2 linked regions of the Caenorhabditis elegans genome follow. The protein of the gene in region 1 purifies or fractionates together with the protein of each later gene. This does not show direct contact. Each region holds a gene or a part of one and is shown on either strand. Other genes may lie near its edges. The genes, in order: perm-4 and cbd-1.

The links.
Region 2: the proteins of perm-4 (region 1) and cbd-1 purify together in Caenorhabditis elegans (affinity purification with mass spectrometry, with the first as the bait; one study listed by BioGRID). This does not show direct contact.

What each region holds. Positions count from the first base shown.
Region 1 is NC_003282.8:1,119,037-1,128,796, forward strand, and holds perm-4 (PERMeable eggshell), read right to left. Parts: upstream 6,072-9,760; 5' UTR 6,050-6,071; coding exon 5,993-6,049; intron 5,936-5,992; coding exon 5,788-5,935; intron 4,628-5,787; coding exon 4,167-4,627; intron 2,876-4,166; coding exon 2,546-2,875; 3' UTR 2,458-2,545; downstream 1-2,457. Other genes in the region: perm-2 (uncharacterized protein), read left to right, coding at 7,765-7,848, 8,683-8,842, 8,893-9,128, 9,539-9,622, 9,669-9,716.
Region 2 is NC_003282.8:11,368,998-11,379,733, forward strand, and holds cbd-1 (Chitin-binding domain protein cbd-1), read left to right. Parts: upstream 1-3,993; 5' UTR 3,994-3,996; coding exon 3,997-4,042; intron 4,043-4,089; coding exon 4,090-4,184; intron 4,185-4,229; coding exon 4,230-4,785; intron 4,786-4,831; coding exon 4,832-5,440; intron 5,441-5,486; coding exon 5,487-6,407; intron 6,408-6,455; coding exon 6,456-6,734; intron 6,735-6,781; coding exon 6,782-7,117; intron 7,118-7,165; coding exon 7,166-7,593; intron 7,594-7,639; coding exon 7,640-7,972; intron 7,973-8,015; coding exon 8,016-8,372; 3' UTR 8,373-8,630; downstream 8,631-10,736. Other genes in the region: sec-31 (WD_REPEATS_REGION domain-containing protein), read right to left, coding at 1,286-1,673, 1,779-1,951, 1,997-2,213, 2,262-2,456, 2,503-2,642, 2,690-2,755; fbxb-76 (F-box domain-containing protein), read right to left, coding at 9,177-9,630, 10,275-10,351. UniProt on the Caenorhabditis elegans protein: In unfertilized oocytes, maintains egg-1 and egg-2 at the plasma membrane together with chitin synthase chs-1 and kinase mbk-2. Essential for the formation of a continuous and cohesive chitin layer following fertilization.

The sequences.
Region 1 (9,760 bases):
CTTTTGGGTGAAGTTTTTGCGTTTTCAAATTTGAAAATGCTTTTTATCAAGAGTGTAGAAAAAAAAACAAAACATTTCAAAAAAGTTACAATTTTTGGAATTGTCTTTTGGCTTTTATTCTTATAGCAGGTTTACAGAGCATATAGGCTTAGGCTTATGGGTAGGCTTAGGCTTAGCCATAGATTTAAGCTTAGGATTAGGCTTAGGCTTAGGCTCAGATTTTGTTTGAAAATTCTTATAACTTCCTAAGTTTTCAGAATTGAATATATGAACGAAAGATCAAGCTTCTGCTTTTAAAAAAATCGACTTAAAATATAAATTGTGAAAATTAAATTTGAAGAAATATAACTAATTTCATCAATCAAAACTCTATTTTCTGAAAATCACAGAACACAGGACAGAGTTCTATATTGAAGAATTATAAATCTAATCAGAAACCACCCAAAAAAATGTTTGGAAAAATCTAATTTTCTCAATTCAGAAGCTGATCTCTCTGCCCCCAACCCATTTTTTCGGGAGAGTTAAGCTCCAGAAAATCACTGAAATAAAAACAGGTGAAATTTAAATATAAAATACAGAGAGATAGTATATGACGCGTGAAAATAAAGTTTGCTTTTTTTCTGACGAACTCTATTGAAAAGTTCAAATTTATCGTAGAATTTCGCTTTTAGTACTGAAAAATAGTGAAATCTGAAATTTTCCGGTTTTCAAAAATATTTTATACCAGTGTTGTGTAGCTCTCGGCTCTCGGCGCAAGAGAGAAAAATTAGGATTTTTGCCAAAAATGTGGTGTGCACTCGCCGAGAGCCGACTTTCTTCAATAGTAACACAGGACTGTTACACAAAAACAGCAGGGAATTCAAATTTTTTATTGAAAATTTTGAGAAATGGAGTTCGAGCACAGAAAATTTGCTAACATCGAAATATTCTAGACTTAAAATTTTTTAAAGAAATTTTTGAATAGTCATTTCGAATTCTCCATCCCTCAATTAGTTTATTCCAGAAATGCCAGAGCGCTAGCTTAAAGTCCCGTCAAATTCGGTGCATTGGAGTACGGTAGACGGTGTTTGCGTATTTCCGGAGCCACAGTAACCAACTGGTTTGAAAATCAAGCTAAAACCGTGAGAAGTTATGTTGTTGAATGCAAAAATAAACGAGGAAATAGAGTTGATAATGTTTTCTAGGAATGAAAACAGATTGAGTTCTGGAAAATTGAGAAAACAATATATATTTTTACCGCACTTTCCACTACTACAGAGTTCTCGTATAATATAGTGTACTTCCGAAAACTAAAAGCTATAATTATTTGTCATAAAAAAATAATTCCTGGGAGTACGGTAGAAGCTACAGTAATCCAAAAAAAATCTTAAAAAAATGCTAGAAAATGAAAAATTTGAATTTGTTATTGTAATTTTTCGGAGGAAAAAAAAGTTAATTTGAGAACCCCCGGAAATCACTTTTTTTCGGAAAAAACCCGCTGCAAAAAACAATCTCAAAATTTTTGAAATATTTGTTTTTTCAATTTATTCGGGAGCTGCAGAGTGAGCTCATAGCTTTCCAACAGAGCGGAAATTAATTTTACTAGTCATTTTTTGCTACGTTGCGCATTATCTTTTGATTTTTTAGTGTACGTGACGCATCAATATTTGGAAATTTAACTTTTTTGAAAAAAAAAATGAAAAATCAAAGTTATTTCAAAAAATGTTTGCAAGATTTAATGATTAGGTAGCTTTAATTTCTGCATAGATTTTTAAGCCAAAAAAGTTTTTCTTTGATTTCTAGATTTCTCTAAAAATACAAAAACGCCGACTACCATATATGCCGGGACTTTTGAGTGAAAGATTTTTTTGTCATTAGAAAGTGCGAGGACCATAGGGCTTTTATGTAGGCGTTAAAATGCCTGCTACCTGATCTCCGCCTGCCCCTCGCTCAATTTCTGCACTAAATGCTTGGTGTTTATTCCACAAAGTGCGAAAGGTGGTTCTTTGGCCGCGACCGACACTATTCGGGTCGTGGTGCAAGGCAGGCAGAGGTCGCCGCAAGGCGGGCGCGGCAGGCGTTCAGGCGCCTACAGGGAAGCCCTAGCAGGCTCAAAAACTTTTTGGAATCTGGTCACTGGTTTTCGTGAAGCTTCTATGTATACATGAGGTTTTCTAAAGTCTGGAAAACAGCAAAAAAGTGTAGAAAAGTACGTGGGAAAATGTCAATTTTTTCTGAGAAAAAGGAGTTTTAACAAAATGATCTAGACCAGAGGTGGGAAAATATTTGATAGTATGTTGCGAGACTGCGAATGATTTGAAAGTTCAACAAGTGTCTAAGTTGCTAAAATTATCAAAAACTTTTACAAAAGTTAAATTTGAAGAGCTAAATTTTAAGAATGACAAATTTGGCAACTTCCAAAGTTGCCGGAAACTTCAAAAACTGGTAGTTTATTCCAAAATAGCTATGTAGCACAAAATTTCAGGAGAAGATATTTATTGGGTTGTGCAAAATCGAATTATATTTGAAAAATGTAAACAAAAAGGTCACTTGTAAGAAAATCGAATTAATAAGCATTGGAAGCAGCAACTGGAGCCGGCGTGGCCGCTGGTGGAGCATCATTGGCGGCTCCCCAAGTTGGAGCAGCAGTTGGAGCACCTCCCCAGGTTGGTGGAGCAGCTGGAGCAGCTCCCCATGATGTTGATGGAGCAGCTGGAGCAGCTCCCCATGATGTTGATGGAGCAGTATTCTCGGATTGCCAGAGGTCAACGAGTGGCTGGGAGGCTGACATTGGTGGGGACTGAGCAGCTACTGGTTGTGGCTGGACGAAGGCGTTGGCGTTGTTGTTGTAGCCAGTTGGTGGGGATTGAGCAGCATTGTTGTTGTAGGATGGGTTCTGGAAGAAAATTGAATTGCATAATAAATTTTCCCTCAAAGTTTTGAAATATGAGCTTCAAAATAACCTAAAAAACATTGAAAAATATCAAAAACTGGCAAAGTTAGGGGTTTTCAGAAATTGAAAAAAAAATTTCTTAGGAAATTTTCTTTAAAACTCAGTGGTACATAGGCTAAATTATCGATTTTTTTTTTGCAAAATTCAATAAAATCCCGATGAAATTTTCAGTTTGAGAAGATTTTTGGAGAGAATTTCAAAATTTTTGGAAAATTCGTAGCTTTTTCAGTTTTTGAGAGTTTTTGGTGATTTTTGTGTCAAATTGAAGCTAAACTTTTATATTTTTTAGGAAAAAATAATTTTTAATTTAATATCGTCTTAGAAAGGTTCAAAAACATGAAAAATTCCTCTCAAATTCCTTATTTTTCGAATTTCAAAATTTTGAGATTTTTCGAAAATCCATAGCATTCTTAGTTTTTGAGACTTTTGGATAAGTTTTGTGGCAAATTGAATATAAATTTTAAAATTTTACAAAAATTCATGTTTGGAGTGATGTATTCAGTAAAATAGCTGAAAAAAGTAGGCCTAATGCCAAATTCTCAAACTTTGGAATTTTCTAAAATTTTTCAAAAATCCAAAACTTTTTCAGTTTTTGAGATTTTTTAGTGAATTTAGTGTTAAATTAAAGCGGAAGTTTCAATTTTTATGGAAAAAACTAGTCTGAACGCTGAAAAACCATATTTTCTTCAAAACTAGACGCTTGAACTCGTCATATGGCTTAAATTTAGGGCTTCAAACTTCGAAATTCGGAGATTTTTTGAACATTCTCAACTTTCTTAGTTTTCAAGATTTTCTAGAGATTTTTGGGCCAAATTAAAGCTGAATTGTTAAATGTTGTAGTGAAATTGTTTTAGTTATATAAAAACTAAATTGTGGTAAAAACCAAAAAGAAAGTCATTGGTCCAAAATTAAAAGTTTTGTTAATTCTGACAGAAATTTGAAAATCTATAACTTTTTCAGTGTATGAGATTTTTCAGTGATTTTTTTGCCAAATTTAAAGTAAATTTTGAAATTATTTAAAAAGGATTAATTTTAAATTTTCAAAAAATTTACTGTCTTCAAAACTAGACTTTTAGACTCGTAGGCCAAAATCTTCAAATATCGAAATTCCGCGGTTTTTTGAAAATTTATAACTTCCTCATTTTTCAACATTTTTTTTGTAATTTTTGAGCCAGATTAAAGCAAAATCACTGAATTCCCAACAAAAAAAAATAGTCCTTAAAATATTCCCCACCTGAGCAGCTGGAGAGGATCTTGGAGCACAGCACACGCACTTGACATTCTTATGATATTTCTTTGGCTCCCAGTTGGCCTCTGACAAGTAGGTAGAGTCAACCTTATGGAATCTTCCACGTCCATGTTTTCCGTCCTTCTCATCAGAATCCGAATCATTATCATCATCATCATCAGCTCCTCTCTTGGATCTCTTGAATGTCTCATCATCATCATCCTTGGTAATAGCCAAGAATCCGAAGAGTTGATCGTTGGGAAGGGAAGTGTCACGACGGGCGGTCTGTTGGCAGCAGAAGTTACAGGAATCTTCATCATGGGTAGCAACTTCGGAGCACTTTACACGAACGGCACGATTAGCTGGGACGGATGGGGCTCCACCGTAGTATGGCTGTGGGTGGCGATGATGGCGGCGGACAGAGTCGACGACGAGGAGCACGGAGGCGTCGAGGTCGCATACGAAGCCTGTAAATATTTTTCATCTTAAAATTCAAAATTTCAGCTTCAATTTAACTTAAAAACTGATAAAATATCTCAAAAACTGGAAAAGTTGTAGATTTTCGAAAATTTTAGAAAAAAACCATTTTAGTTAATTTGACAAAAAAAATTCCTGACTCAAATCAGTTTGTTCTACAGAATTTTAAAAAATTGGCTCTAATTTTACAATAAATTCAATAAAAAATCTCGAAAACTAAAAAAGTTATGAATTTTCGAAAATGTTCAAAAATCTATTATATAACTTTCTCAATTTTCGAGATATTGGGATGGTTTTTGTGGTATTTTGAGGGTAAATTTTTGAATTTTCAAGAAAAATTAGTTTTCGATAAAAATTGTCGAAAAAATTTAATAGCAATAAAATTTGACTCTTCCAAAAAAAAAAGTCCAAAATTTCAAAAATTTTTGAAAATCTATAACTTTCTCAATTTTTGAGATTTTGGGATGGTTTTTGTGTCATTTTAAGGGTAAATTTTTGAATTTTGTATAAAAAATAATGGAAGCTATCGTAACCTAGGAAAAGTGTGTTTTCTACCGAATTTCAATTTCTTTCAAAATATAAAATTTAAGCTTCAATTTGGCATTAAACTCAATGAAATTTTTTGAAAATTGTAGCTTTTTTGAAATTCTGCACCAACTAGATTAAATTTAATCTAAATAAATACTACAGTAACGCAGTTAATTTTGCCAAAAAATTTAAAAAAAATTAATCTTTAATTTGACATAAAAATCAAACAATTATCTCAAAAACTGGAAAAGTTACAGGTTTTCAAACATTTTCAAAAATTCTAATTCTGATAAATTGGCCTAAGTTCTACAGATTTTTTGAAAAAAAAAAACAGTATTTTTGCAACAAAATTTGAAGAACTAGCTTAATTTTGATTTAAAAATTATTGAAAAATCTCGAAAACTGAGAAATTTATGAATTTTTCAAAATTTTTCGAAAATTTGAAAATTGACAAAACTACCTATGAATAAGTCAATTTTTTGATGATTCCCAAAAAATGTTACATTTTTGAAATAAGTTGGCTATTGCGGTTCAAACAAGTATAATCATAACTAGGTCTACGCAAATGCGCTCTATTGCCAAATTACTATAGCTCTTAAAATTTGAATTTTCACGAACTCACGATCTTGAATAAGTGGCTGCCAGTATCCTGGTCCGAATGCTGGGTATCCATATCCTCCTCCATTTCCATAACCTCCTCCTCCATACGATGGACGACCGCCGTAGCGACCAGCAGCGGCCTCTGACTTGACCTCTTCGGTGGGTGTTGGCTGCAGAAAATGTTTCAGATTATCCTAAAATTGCGGAAATCCAAAAAAACCATATACCTTTGCACCGAGGACGGCGGCCAGCGAGGCGACTGTGAGAAGAAGAACGGTTTTCATTTCTGAAAAGCGATCGAATGATGGATTTGTCGGCGGAGCCATGCTTTTATAGTTCGGGGGGAACATGGGATGGGCTCCGCCTACAGAAAAAAAAATCAAGAGGAAAAGCTTGAGGAAGATGAAAGTAGAAATGTCTGAGTTGATGGAACGGGGAAAAAAGAGGAAACATTGAAAAGATGATCGATAGATTTGCACCATATCTCGGCTAATTTTCAAGATATCAAAAAAATTGTAACTAGACAGTTATAGAAAAAGTAATAATAAATAACTTGCCAGTTGATAATTTTTTGATAAAACCAAAGGCTACGAAGATATGAACTGTTAAAGTTGATCAGTAAATTTTTCATCGATGCACCAAAAAGAAGGGAATCTGAAGCATAAATAATGCATGTAAAACCTACTGCCAAAATTTTACAATAAAACTACTCTCAATGCACCATAATCAGCATTTTTGTTCAGCAGCTCGTATCCCTCTTATGTATTTTTATAAATATCAATTTATTACAAAACTTTGTAAAACTATGTAATGCATATTTTACGTGTTTGCAATTTGCTCATTGATATGTAAATTGTTGAAATTTTATTGGCAAATCCATAGAGAAATCCATTAGGAACACTATAAATCACTCCAAAGCTTTCAATTCACAAGGAAAGGAAGTCAATCTAGTCCCGGACTTTGAATCAGGACATATGCCTTTGAAAGCTTATGTTTAGACTAGATCACCAAAAAAATTTCAGCGGCGGAACTCAACTCTGAACCCCTGAAAGCGCCATCTGAAAGTGCTCCAGTGCATTTTTTTGCTGAATTCTAGGTCAAGTAAATGGCCTTAAAAGTGGCTAGAGCGGTTAAAAATTGTTTTTGGGGGTCTTTAGGGTCAAACAAACAGTGTGGAAGCTTTTTGGAAATTTTTATTTTTTTCCAAAAATCTGAAATTTTTGCGGTGATCTAGGCTAACCATAAGCTTTCAAATGACATACGTCTCGATTCGAAGTCCGGGACTAGATTAACTTACTTTCCTTGTCAGACAAATTTTTCACATAATACGTTAATTATCTATTTCATGCCCAAATTCCAGGTATTTGCACATTTCTCCATTCTCATTCAATTGCACTTTCACCCATCACGAGTTGCTCCATATGAAATCATCTGAAATGTCTGAAATTCCAAGCCCACTCAATCATCCCATTTCTCATATAACATGTTGCAATCAGGTGGGCGGCGGCTGCGGCCGGCAGGAAAAAGAGCCCAGCGGAATGTGTGATGGATTGAGCAGCGAAGAAAAAAGAAAATGGAAAAGCTGAAAAAAATAGTCGGTCGAAAAAAAAGTGACCTAAGGATGTGTTGCAACATGTGTCTGAGATCCAGCGGGGTTCAAAGAACTAATTTGTGTATCTTTTAGCAAAGTGTATTTTGAGAAAATCAACACATTTTGAACTAGAACACTGTAGAAAAACTGTTAAGGAACATTTTTCCAGTTGATCAAGTCCGAGTGATTCACCATGTATTGGAGCCTTTTGACTTGTTGGCTCAGTTACCACAGCTGTGAGATTTAATTCCAGGTTCCGTAGCAAACATTTTTGCGCTCCAAACCTTTTTGTTTTTTATCCAACGCCTAACGTTTTCCCCTCAAACTACAATGCCGAGTTCCCGCCTCCATATCTCTGGCGGATCTCAAGTATAAAAGCGGCGAAGCATCTTGGCTCCGATCATCATCATGTTTTCCACCACTTGGATCGTCGCGTCTCTGGCACTTTGCGCCGCTGTCACCTGCGCTGTGAGCACCGAGGCTCCTGAGAAGGTAAGCGTTACTGTTGGTTCTGTTGGAACTAGGAAAAACGGACTGTAAGGTTACTGTAGCTTGATAGATAACTTGATTTAGACACGTTAAAAAGTAAAGCTGTTATAGATATTTGACTAAATCTTGATGTATTGTCAGTAGGTATAATTAGTTGTATTCAAGTTATTAAGATTAGGTTTATTCCGTATCACGTGTGCATTAGTATGTATCACGTAAGGGTTACCTATACTATATTGTGATATCCTAAATAGTAAGTCTAAATAAGATTACTTGCTAAGGTGTAACTTGAATCGGACAGAAAATTTAGAGGTAATAAGATTTCTTGATGAAATGCTATGTTGATTAAGCGTAGATATATTTAATAGAATTCAACTTATTAGGAAGGTTAGTATACATTTAACTAGTTTCTTTTACCTAGGTTCTGCTCCTGGAGTTACTGTGGCTAGATGTAGCTAGACCTTAAATATATGTACCTTAAATAGGATGTAGGTCTAATTCAAATTAAACACGTTACGAATATGGCACATTATTTAATCCGATACAAAGGTAATACTATAAGTAGGCATGTATATTGAATAGTATTCAGGGAGGTATATTAGGACTAATTAAATACTTTTGAGATTAAGTAGTAACTGTTAAATACTGAAAGTGTAATAATTGTTTAGCTTTTAATATTTACCATCATTCATTTGAAGTACTTGTTCTAGGTAGCTTACTATTAGTATAGGAACGTAATCAATACCTACCTTTGAATCTAGACTAGTTTAGAATTTAGTACTAGAAAAAAATTATCAGTAAGTATGAGCGAATAAAATTTTATGTCCAATTTTCCAGCAATCCGACGTCAAGGACGCCCCAGCTGGAGCTCACTATGGCGGTGGCTACGACAACGGACCATCCTACAACCAACCCCAATACCCAGTCTACCAGTTCCCAAACTTTGACGTCAACTATTGCTCTGTCCACGCTTCCTTCCCACTTGTCGGTCTTAGAAGTTAGTTTTAACAACTTTCCTACGGGTCCCGTTCACCTTAAAACTTCTAGAGCACCATCGCGGTCACCACAGAGGCGACCGCGTGAAGAGACAAGCCTACGGAACCCCAGCTCAAGATTCCAACTACAACAACAACCAGCAATACGATGCTCCAGCCTACGGACCATCCTTCATCCAGAGACCACGCCCGTTCGAGCGTCAGGCTTGCAGAAACACCGCCATCTACTCGCAGGAGTCGTGCCAGAACTGCTGCTCCATCTCGTCCCGTGCCGCTGGAAGCTCATCGGTTAGTGCGGGTCAGAGCTATAGCTTTGGTTTATTTTTAGACTTAGGTTTAGGCTTAGGCTTAGGTTTAGGCTTAGGCTTAGGCTAAGGCTTAGGCTTAAGCTGAGACTTAGGCTTAGGCACAAGCTTAGGCTTAAAGTTAGGCATAGGCTTAGGCTTAGGATTAGGCTTAAACTTAGTTCCACCTGTTTTAAGGTCTAGAAACTGTTTTTAGCGTCTGAAAATCATTTTTTGTAATTTTAACGCAGTTTTTAAGCAAATTTTGAGGCCTAAGCTCTTTTGCCTCTACGAAACATATTTGAGGTTGCAAAGCAATTTTTAGTGTATCTGAGAACATTTTTCCGAGTTTAAAAGCTCGTTTTTAGTTGCCTGAAGCTCGTTTTCCCCCCAAAAATCTCTCCAATTTTGCAGAAAGTCGTCGGAATTCTGATGATCTTCGACCCGAAGCTGTCCGCCGACAAGAAGCACCACAAGAAGGACGACGACTTAAACTCGGTGAGCTCACAACTTTTGAAACCCTGCCAAATTTATTTTTTTTCAGCCAGACCGTGCTCTTCAATGCGTGTGCTGCACCTCGAGAAGAGTGTAATTCAACTAATTCCACGTGGCCAACTATTTTATCGATTTTTTTCT
Region 2 (10,736 bases), about 10 Mb from region 1:
TTTTGTTTTATTTTACATTATCAAATGTAAATTTTAACGTAGATTCCGTTTTTCTAAATAGTTTTCTCATTATCCAACCGGAAAGTTACGAAAAAAGCATAAATTGACGATTTTTCAATGAAATTGTGCGCAACCCCTTGGTGTGCAAATTAGTGATTTTTGAGATTCTTTCGGCTGTAAGTCGGTCAGTTTGGCACTTTTTGGGGTAAATTTTTCGAAAAACGTATTTTTCAGGAAATTTACTCTTCAAAAATATAATTTTTTTTACAAAAAAGTCAAAAATAACTTCAGAAATCGCAAATTTCTGCATTTTCTCAAAAAAATGACGTTTTTGCTGGAAAAATAAAAAATTTTCCACTACCGAATGGGATTTTATGTTAAATTCGTAATTAGTACATAAATACCGAATGCAAGCTGAAAGCACAGTCCTCTACGATCATTTTCAACGAATTTAGTTTATTTAATTTTTGACCTCGAAATTTCAATTTTCCTCTTTTCCTGGACCAGTTTTCTGTTGGATAATGAATTTTATGTCCTAATTCTTATTATTTTTGCTATGAGAAGCGAGACAAACTAAAATTTTTTGGTCATGAGTTCCTCGAGCCCCGTTCCTGAAGTTGTAGGCTTCAGGCCATGCTTAGGAAGCTCAAAAGTTCATTCTTCACCAATTTCTAAAATTTCAAATGCTATCATATTCTCCTTTTAACGCTGAGTTCAAGTATATACTTTTAATTTTTCAATTCCTACTATGAACAAAGTTACGACGCGTCGAAGTTTGAAAAGTCTTTGCCCGGCCCCCTCCTTCCCCTCATCCGCCAGTGGTAGTTGTATTATTCAACTCACCTGGGTACCCAACTCTTCCCAAAAATCAACATATTTGAATTATCAGTCATATAGTGGAGATATTCTTCTACTCGACACATCGTCACCCCACCATAAACCCCTCAAACATGTCGTCTTTGGCTGTCCACGTGTACATGTACATACAATTGCAATTGTTTTGAATAATTCTTGCCTGTGGCAACCTTTTTGACTATCCCTACAGTATATTTGATTACTTACATATTTTTGTTCTATTATAGCAGGCCGAAGGCCTGCTATACTGGTTCAGGAAGCCACGCAGGCCGTAGGCCTGCGGTGCGAGACCCAAAACATTGCCAATCGCACGTTCGAGGCGAAGCCGAGAACCCGCGCCAGCTAGCGGACTCGCCCCAACCCAACCTCTACTAGCGGGCCCCATAGGGCCCGCTAGTCAAAAACGAGATTTGTTATAAAATTTCAATACCGTTTCAATTTCCACATTATGGTGCCATTGTTGGGTCATTGCATCGTAGGACTTCCAGAATGTTGCCAACCGTCCACCTAATGCTATTGATGAGCCAATTAAGGGAGCACGGTGCCATGCAGGAACAAATTGATCGGAGATCCTAGCGGCAAGTACATCGGCTCCTGGTTGCGGAGATCCAAGACTAGTCAATGAGGATATTTGAACAGGATGTTGGAAATATTGAATAGCAAATTGTGATGGCTCCTCTTCATTCCATTTAACATTTCGGATCCAGTCTCCTTGAAGACTTCCAACACCTCCAAGCACCTCAGATGTTTCGTGATTCCATATAACCACTTGTCCATCACAGCCAGATGAAATTACAAGACGATCATCAGCTTTGTTCCTGTATTAATATTTTTCGTAATTTTTATATAGTTTTTTGTACAAAAATAAATTGTCTAGCTCAATTTTTATTATATAATCAACAAACTTTTAAATAAAAACTTACCAGTCAACACTCGTAATTCCCATATTATGATGTCTGTATTCTTTAACTGGTGTTGAAGTGAATCTCGAATCCCATTTCTGAATAACAGAGGCGTGTTGAGATTGGCTGGAAACTATAAGTTGTGAGGCGTCCGAAGGATTCCAAGAGAGCGAAGACCAATCACAGCCAGGAATCTGCAAATAGAACTTTAATAGCCACCAGGCAATTGAAAATCCAACCTCTGCGAATTCTAACACCGGCGATCCATTTCTTCTCAAATCCCAAAAACTGACTCTTCTGGACGATATGGAAGCAAACACAGACTCGTTCTTCAAGTTCCAGCGAAGAAGTTTCACTTGATCTGGGAAATTTGGCGAACCGGGAGAGAATGGTGTTTTCAGATTTGCGCAATCCCAGAGAAGAATTTGTCCTGAGCCTCCACCAGAAGCCATCCATCTTAAAAATTATTTTTTTGAATTGTTCTTGTAAACTTTCATTTCATACCTGCCGTCCCTGGAAACATCAATAGTGAGAACATGCCCATGATGATCTCTTCGAGAAAGAAGAACTTCTAGTGATTGATTCTTGATAAATTTATCAGCATCAAAAAATACCACAGTTCCGTCCTCTGTACCGCCAGCAATTATTCCGTTCGGATGTGCATCGGAACACAGAGAAGTCCAGGCTAATTCATTGAATCTAAAATTATGAAATACACTATACCGCTTCACATTATAATTCTCACCGATAATTAGTGGCATGCGACACATTCGGGGCCAAATTCGATTTTTCATATATCTCACTTGCTGGCAAAAAATCGATCTTTGGTTCGATTGATGTTGCAGTCGGGTCAAAAAACTGAGCGAAATCAGCAACAATTAAGCCCTGAAAATTTGATTTATTTCAATTATAGACGAAGATTGATTAATTACCTTTTTCTGAATTCCACGTGGACTCCAGACAAATACGCCGGAACGTGAGTAGAGCTTCGAGCTCATCGATCGTGTTCCGTTTAATGAGCAATTGTTGTAACTTTAGCTGTAACGTTGACGTGGATGAATGAGAGCAGCTGAACAGGGAGTAAGTGCGCTCCTTTGCACTCGAACAAATAGGAGGAAGTGAAAGTTTTTAAAAGAGTAGTCTTGATGTAATTCAGACAGCTAGAAACACCGATATCGAACGGAAAAGAAAAATGGCAGAATGAATGTTCCTTAGAATGTTCCGCATATAAAAATTGGGACTCCCAATTTGGGAGGAGTAATTCAAAATATTTCAATATCAAAAAGTGAACTCATCGCACCAATTTTCGAAAAAATAGAAGCTTCTTATTTAAAAATGTTTAAGAAAAATATCAAAAAGAAAATAAAACACTAATTGTTATATGTTTAAGAAATCAGACAATGTTTTTTCAAGTTATGTCGCGCGGACAGAGAAAACAGAGAATACACAAATTCTACTAATAGCTATTGAAAGAAGCGAGGAAAAAAGTTCATTAAAAACCTTAATTTCGCTATTCCCGAAGGAAAACGAAACGATGATTTTAAAAATCAAAAAAAAAATTGATTTTCCGTGGATCTGCAAAACGACGTGAAGTGTCTTTGCGTACTTTTGCATACCGTAGTCAAGTAAGCCGCTAATGTCCAAACTTTCTATTTAAAGTTATAATTATTTAAACCGACTATGAATTTTTAGAAGTTAATTTTTTTGTTTCAGAAAATTAACAAAAAATTGGATGCAATTAAAATTAAATCAACCAAAAAAACATATTTTGGAAAATGGAAACGGTTGGTATTAAAGGATCATGTATGTTGTTAGTTGGGTCTCGCCACGATTGCTAACTAATACCGTACTCTGTTATTTTTGGGCCGCACAATTCTTTAGTTTTTCTTAATTTTGAAAATATCTTGAATTTTCTCATAATATTTTGTTTGTTTTCATTAATTTTATGATCTAAAATTAATTTTTAAAGAATAAAATTGAGCAAATGTATGCCAATACCCATTTCAGACATGTAAAAGTGCAGTAGATCAAAAATTATTTGACCCCAGTTTTAGGCTCGAGCGGGAAATTTTTTGGATTGAGTTTTCAACCTCGAATGTTCCATTTCATTCCTTCTTCATTAGCTCTAATTTTTATTAGTTTCTCCTGAAATGGCGACCATTTTGAACCTTTTCTGTTTTTATTTCGTAAAACTTTTAAGTTAAAATATTCATCCTCTAACTGTTATCAATTTCAGGCGATGGGGCCACAGCTAGCCACCGTCTCGCTGCTTCTACTAACATTTTGTGAGTTTCTGCCTCTTTCTTTTCAATCAAATATTTTTATTTTCCAGTTTCGAATTCTATTCAATACCCGCACTCACCAGCAGCCACAGAATGCCCTGCATACTTCAACGGAAACATAGCAGGAAATGCATGCAGTCGGGAGGTAAACCAGTAGCCCTCCGTTTCAAATATAATTCTTTATTTTCAGTACTCGATATGTGTGAACGGAGTCAGGCAAGCAGCCACCTGCAGCGATGATTCTGTCTTCTACGAAGACGAATGTGTGCCAGTCGACGAATCTCCAGAATGTCGAGTAGATGAAAACACTGAAGAAGATGACACCCCATATGCGGAATTCGACTGCACATCGAAACAGGATGGCATCTACTCCATTGGCTGCTCTAACCAGTTTATCAGCTGCGTCGCCGGCGGAGCCTACATGGCGAAATGTCCTGATAGCTTGGTCTTTAACGAAAGAACCCAAGATTGTCGTGAATCTTGCGACGAAGTGAAACAGGACACAACTACTGCACCACAAGTCTACGAAGATGGTGAAGAAGGATACGGAGAAGCTTCCGGTGAGATTGCTGGAGATTACGAACGTCAACCGTCGAACGAGCAGCCGGATTCAATTGACTTCGATTGCAACGGTCTGGAAGACGGAAACTACGCCGACGGTTGCAATGACGTATTCTACTCATGCAGCAACAACATGGTGTTCCAGAGATACTGTCCACCGGGAACAGTTTTCAATATCAATCAACGTAAGTGCACGTGATCGAGTATTATGTTAATTTCTTCGTTTTTCAGAGTCCTGCGATTTCCAATGCACGACCGATGATCCAACGACCACTGTATCGTACTCAACTTCTACAATCACAACACCGCAAGAAGATGACAGTGAATACAGCTCAACAACTTCCGCTGATGTCATCTCAACAACAACAACACCTTCAATTGATGCTATTGAGACAACTACGACTGGATTTGATGCCGTGACAACGACAACAACGACGCAAACTCCGTTCGTTTGTCAGGAGGGACAAGTCAACTCCTTCGGGATGTGTTCGTCACGATTCAATCGTTGTCAGAACAACTCGGTGCGTTCAAAGCAATGTCCAGTCAACACTCTCTTCGAGTCCTCTCTCGTTATGTGCGTGTTCGATTTGCCACAATGTCAACCAATCACTGTTCCCGCCGCTCCTGCGTACAACTCTTACGGGCCTCCATCGGATACCATCGTCAGTCCATTTGATGAGAACGTTCGTCTGAAACCAAAATTCGACAGAAGGCGTAAGTATCATCATGGGAAGCCGAGTTACGGACCGGTAAATGGAAACTCGTATCTTGAGAATCCATTCTTCATCCCTCGACACCGTGGAGGCAGCCACAGAGATCATCGCCGCTATGGTTATGGACGTAAGTTAGGATTAGTCTTTTCTTTGTGATAATTTTGATACTTCAGCGGCCATTGATTCTCCATTCTCAACCGCTTTCCGTGGTCGTGCTGCACTTAGCGATCAATTCAAAGACTACCGCCGTGCAAGAATGGGAAAGATCCAAGGAGATGCCAGGAAGGTTGATGGAAACAAACGTTTCTTGATTGATGATGAGTTCGAAGGGCCAAACGCGAAGTTTGTTGAATCTAACATTGAGCAAGTATTCCCGAAGAATCGTCATTCAAAAAAACAGTTGGGACCACATGAGGATCCAGACGGCTATGACGACGAGAAAACGTTCGACGCAAAAGATTTGTTCGGAGCCACGAGAAGGAAGCGTTCAGCCTACTACGGAACTGAACAATCTGTATATGGACAGCAGTCTGCACAAATATCTGCTCGACAAGCTCAAGTAAACAAGGACTGTCAACAATACACTACTCCCACTTTCCTTACATTCGGCGACTGTTTCGATCAGTTCATTTTCTGCTCTGGAAACGGAATCAATCGTATGGCAGCTTGTCCAATTGGAGAAACATTCGACAAAACTCTTCGTTCTTGCTCAGAAACGTGCGGTGTTTCAACAACAATAGTCGCTGTCACAATCGGAACACAGACTTCAGACGATTTATCTGCACCTTCTGAGTACATTGAGAATGACGGCGTCACTACTCAATCAACATGGAATGATCAACCATCAACCACTCAGGCTCCAAATTCATACGAATCTTACACCACCCAATACTCTTCAAATGACGTGCCATCGACTTCAGCTGCTCCCATTGGGGATCGTTGTTCATTGGACGCATCAGGCCTTTTCTCACTTGGATGCTCGCAAAAATACATTCAATGTTCTAATGGAGCAGCAATTGTGCGTCGTTGTGGAGAATCGTTGTATTTCAATGAGGCCACACAAGAGTGTACTTACAGAGATGAAGTTCCAGAGTGTAAGCTTTAGTCTAAGCTGAGGTTTATATCAACTTGATAATTTTCAGGCGGATCCCAAGGATCTACAAGTTCACCTGTTATCACTACACCAGGCCAGGATCAGTCATCGAACTACTACGGAATCCCATCGGATGATGTCCCATCCACCACACAAACGCCGGTTGGAGATCGATGCGCTTATGTTGCTTCTGGGCTTTTTGATCTAGGTTGCTCGCAAAAGTACATCCAGTGCTCGGATAGTGCTGCATCTGTGAGAGAATGTGAAGGGTCTCTGTATTTCGATGAACGAAGCCAAAGTTGCCGTTTCAGAGACGAAGTGTTCAAATGTGAGTTTTAACTTTGTTTGAAAATATTATGAAAGTTACAATTTCAGGCCAAACAGCAGACGTAAGTTCTTCGTCGACTGTTCCGTATTTGGACTTCACAACTACTCCAGCATCGCCATCAGAGGATGAGCCAACAACGTATGAACCTTCCGTGGCACCGTACATTCCGTCGGTTACTGTCAACCCAGTTGATACCTGCACAAGTCTCTCAGATGGAACTCATGGAACGGGATGCTCATCGTTTTACTTCGTCTGTTCACATGGACGCCTTATCAGTTCGGGTAACTGCCAGCTGGGTGAAGGTTACGATCCATCAGTACAAGGTTGCCGGACTTTCAGTGAAATTCCAGCTCGAGCTTGTGATGAGCAGGAAGTTACGACAGGTATCAAATTTCAATATTTCTTAAGCTTCAATCCTCTAATTATTTCAGATGCTGGTCTTGTTCAGTTAATGCCGTACAAGACATTAGAAGAGGTTCTTACGACAACTGAGGCTGCTACTACAGTTGCAAATGACGGGCCAACGGACACCTACATCACTGGCTCCACTAAATATTCTACAACAGACAGCGGTGAATACACTATTCCATACGGAGATGAAACCACGTCTACTAGATCCTATGACCGAGCCGATAATGACAGCGAAGACGAAGAAGAGGATGACGTGGAGCACGACCAAAAATGCACCGTTGGATCACGTACCCCCGTTGGATTCTGCGTTCGCACATACCTGGAATGTACCGACGCCGGAAACGTTGAGAAATTGTGCAGGATTGGGAAACTCTTCGATTCTCACTCTAACAGATGCGTTCCTAGAATCGGTTGTGGAAAGGAGGCTATTCGTGATGCTATCAAGGATGTGAGTTGATTATTAAGCTAGTATCTCACAAATTACTGAATTTCAGATGATTGCAACAACGCCCGCTCCTGCTCAACCAAAGCAGTTTGAAGGACGATGTGCACATGTGGACGGGGAAGCTGTCTTTTCTATTGGTGTCTGCAGCAGCAAATATCTCAGATGCTCGTACGGTGCTTCAAAACTTCAACAATGTTCCGAAGATCGTGTTTTTTCAAATGACAAGTTGGAGTGTATCGTTAGAGAATCTGTATCCGCGTGTACTGTTCCGAAAAATCCGTCCATCAAGAAGTACTACACCAGTAATGATCAGTCCGCTTTTTGTGATGGAAAGGAAGATGGCCTTTACAGAAACGAAAGAGATTGTTCGGCAATTCTTCAGGTATTTTTAACGAATGTTTTCAAACTTAAACGAAATTTTTCAGTGCTTCGGAGGAGAACTGTTCGAACATCCATCATGTCAATCCAGCCTTGCATTCAATCAATTGACCGGCAAATGCGACTACCCACAAAAAGTCAGTGGATGCGAGAACCATGGTCAAACCAATGGAGAATGCTCCGAACATGGATCTTTCATCGCTGATGCCAATAACTGCGAAGTTTTCTATCGATGCGTGTGGGGACGAAAGGTTGTGATGACGTGCCCATCGGGAACCGTGTTCAATCCATTGTTGTCCGTTTGCGATTGGCCAAGCGCAGTACCATCTTGTTCTGGCCAAGCGTCTGACAGCAACTCTTCATACGGCAGTTCGACGTACAATGATGATAAATCGGGATATTGATAAGTTGTTCTAAACACCCCCATTCCGCAAACTAATCTAATCTTTACATGTACTAACTTTATTGCATTTGATCTCTTGAGCTAATCAGCTATTATTCAGCATCATTCCCTTCCCATTTTTCTCTACCCCATACACCCAAGTTTTCATGTTGTCATAATAATCTGATTTATTTGCATGCTCAACGATACCTTGAAGTTTAAAATTTTGTTAAATAAATCGTGCGAGCCCCAACTGTTCCAAAATAAAATGCAATCCTGTACCGATTCGAACCCCACAAAAGTTATAATAGATGTTTCCGTAAAAAATGCCGCTGTAAATGTGAAAGGGACGCAATTCATCTGAATGATTCTCTCGTATCAATCAATGATTGTTTGATATTCTTCTGAACAGTGTTCTACAAAAATGAAAGTAAACATTTTATAAATTTTACAGAAATTTGTAGTATCATTGAAAAGAAAACAATTGCTGAAAATAGAAGTTGACAAAATTGCTATTTGTTTCAGAGAGTTTTAGACGTATATTAATTTCAAGAAAATAATTTGAAGTTGAAAACTGAAAAGCTTGTGTGATTTGAAATGCAATTTCCAATTTTAGTTATTTTCCAGAAATCCCCTGAAAAATTTTCCTTGTAAACTTTCCATTTTGTGATCATTCAATCCATCTTCTTCACTTTCTTTATTCAACTTGCACCCAAGGGGGCACATTCTTTTGACTCACACCAATCTTTTGACTTTTTCTAACTTTTTTCTCTCAAAATTGTTTCCGGTTTTGTCGTTCCATTTGGATGTCTCTATGGAGTGTCGTTCATTGTACTTTTTTGTTTTTCAAATAATACTTCAACATTTTTTGATAAAAAATATTAACAAAGTTTCCGATGTACATTGCGAATGTTTCAAGTGCCAAAACATCAAACATATCACAAATTGTATCTTCGTCGCAATCAATCTTATTGAAGAAAATAGAAAGCTCTGGATGATGACCTATTTCAAGAACATGATCCAAAAATTGTCTCACTCCAAGTCCTGGATTGGTCCAAGTTTGTCCTTCACTAGTCTTCAGAATGAATTCACGTTTACCAGGTTGTTCAAGGACTTGGTTTATATCAAATGAGAAGAACGCGGACGCAACAAAGTTATTCCTATCGGCCCGAATATAAAATCGTATATTGTCTTCTAAACCCACCAGAACATCTCTCATTTTTATATTCAAATTCTCAACATGATTTTTTGCCGTTTGAGAAATGAGAGCGAATCCAATTCTGAAACAAGAAACTTTTTTTTTGCCTCCGGATAGAAATGATGTTAATTCTCATATGTAGAATAAAATGTATCTATTCTCTCGTGCTCTCTCACCCCACCAGTTGTCGATGGCCATGATCGAGTGCACTCGATAAAAAGAAACGGAGAGGCAGTATAGAACTGACCTCTCACAGGTGCAAGACTAATTTTCAAAAGCCCCATAACTTCGGAACAGTTACCAAATTTTATGGAAAACTTTTAAACCAATACAACCGTTTAAACCAATACATTATTTTCTAATACTTTATCCTCTATTAGAACAATTTTTGAGAAGTTTATCCAAAAATTACAAATTCGTTGAAGTTTCCTCATAGTCAAAAAAAAGGTGCAAGACTATTAGAGACTGCAATACTAATAGAAGAAATACGGTAGTTCCACTTTAATATTGGCAGCTATAATTATTTTACAAACGGCGTTTCTGCGACACAATAATATTTGGTTATTAGTGTGTCGTCAGGCGTATTTTGTCGAGCAACGTCTAATGATGCGTGACGTCATAACAAACTGGTGTCCCCATTTTTATAGGTCAAAGTGTCACACAAAAAACGGTGGAGGGTTTAAGAAGTTTTGGAAAACGGATAAACACAAAATTTCAGAAACTTACAATTCGGTTAAAGGCATTCTTCGAAGAACGTAATTCAGAGATTTCTCAGGTAGATTGAGCAGAGGAAAGATGCTCATTGTGTCAGAATAGGAGAACAGTGACTGTGTTACAATATTGAATGGAAGAGGGAGACTTATGATCTAACCCCATTATTATCCTATTTTCAGATCTTTCTTGCTTTTTCTCTTATCCTCTGCTTCTCTCGTAATGCCCACTCGAGTAGACAACGCGTTGAATCACTATAAAATTAGGAAGAACTGGGTCAAAGGCCACCTTTACGTTCATATTTATTGAAGGGGAATATTTTATTCAGTCAAAATGATGTTATATATCTTAAAAATATTAACACACAAGAGCCTAATAGCTTGCCGACACCGCCTGTAAATCACGAAGGCAGCTTTCAATCACTCACAACGAAATCACAACGAATGCATAAAAAACCATGCAACGAGATGGTTTAAT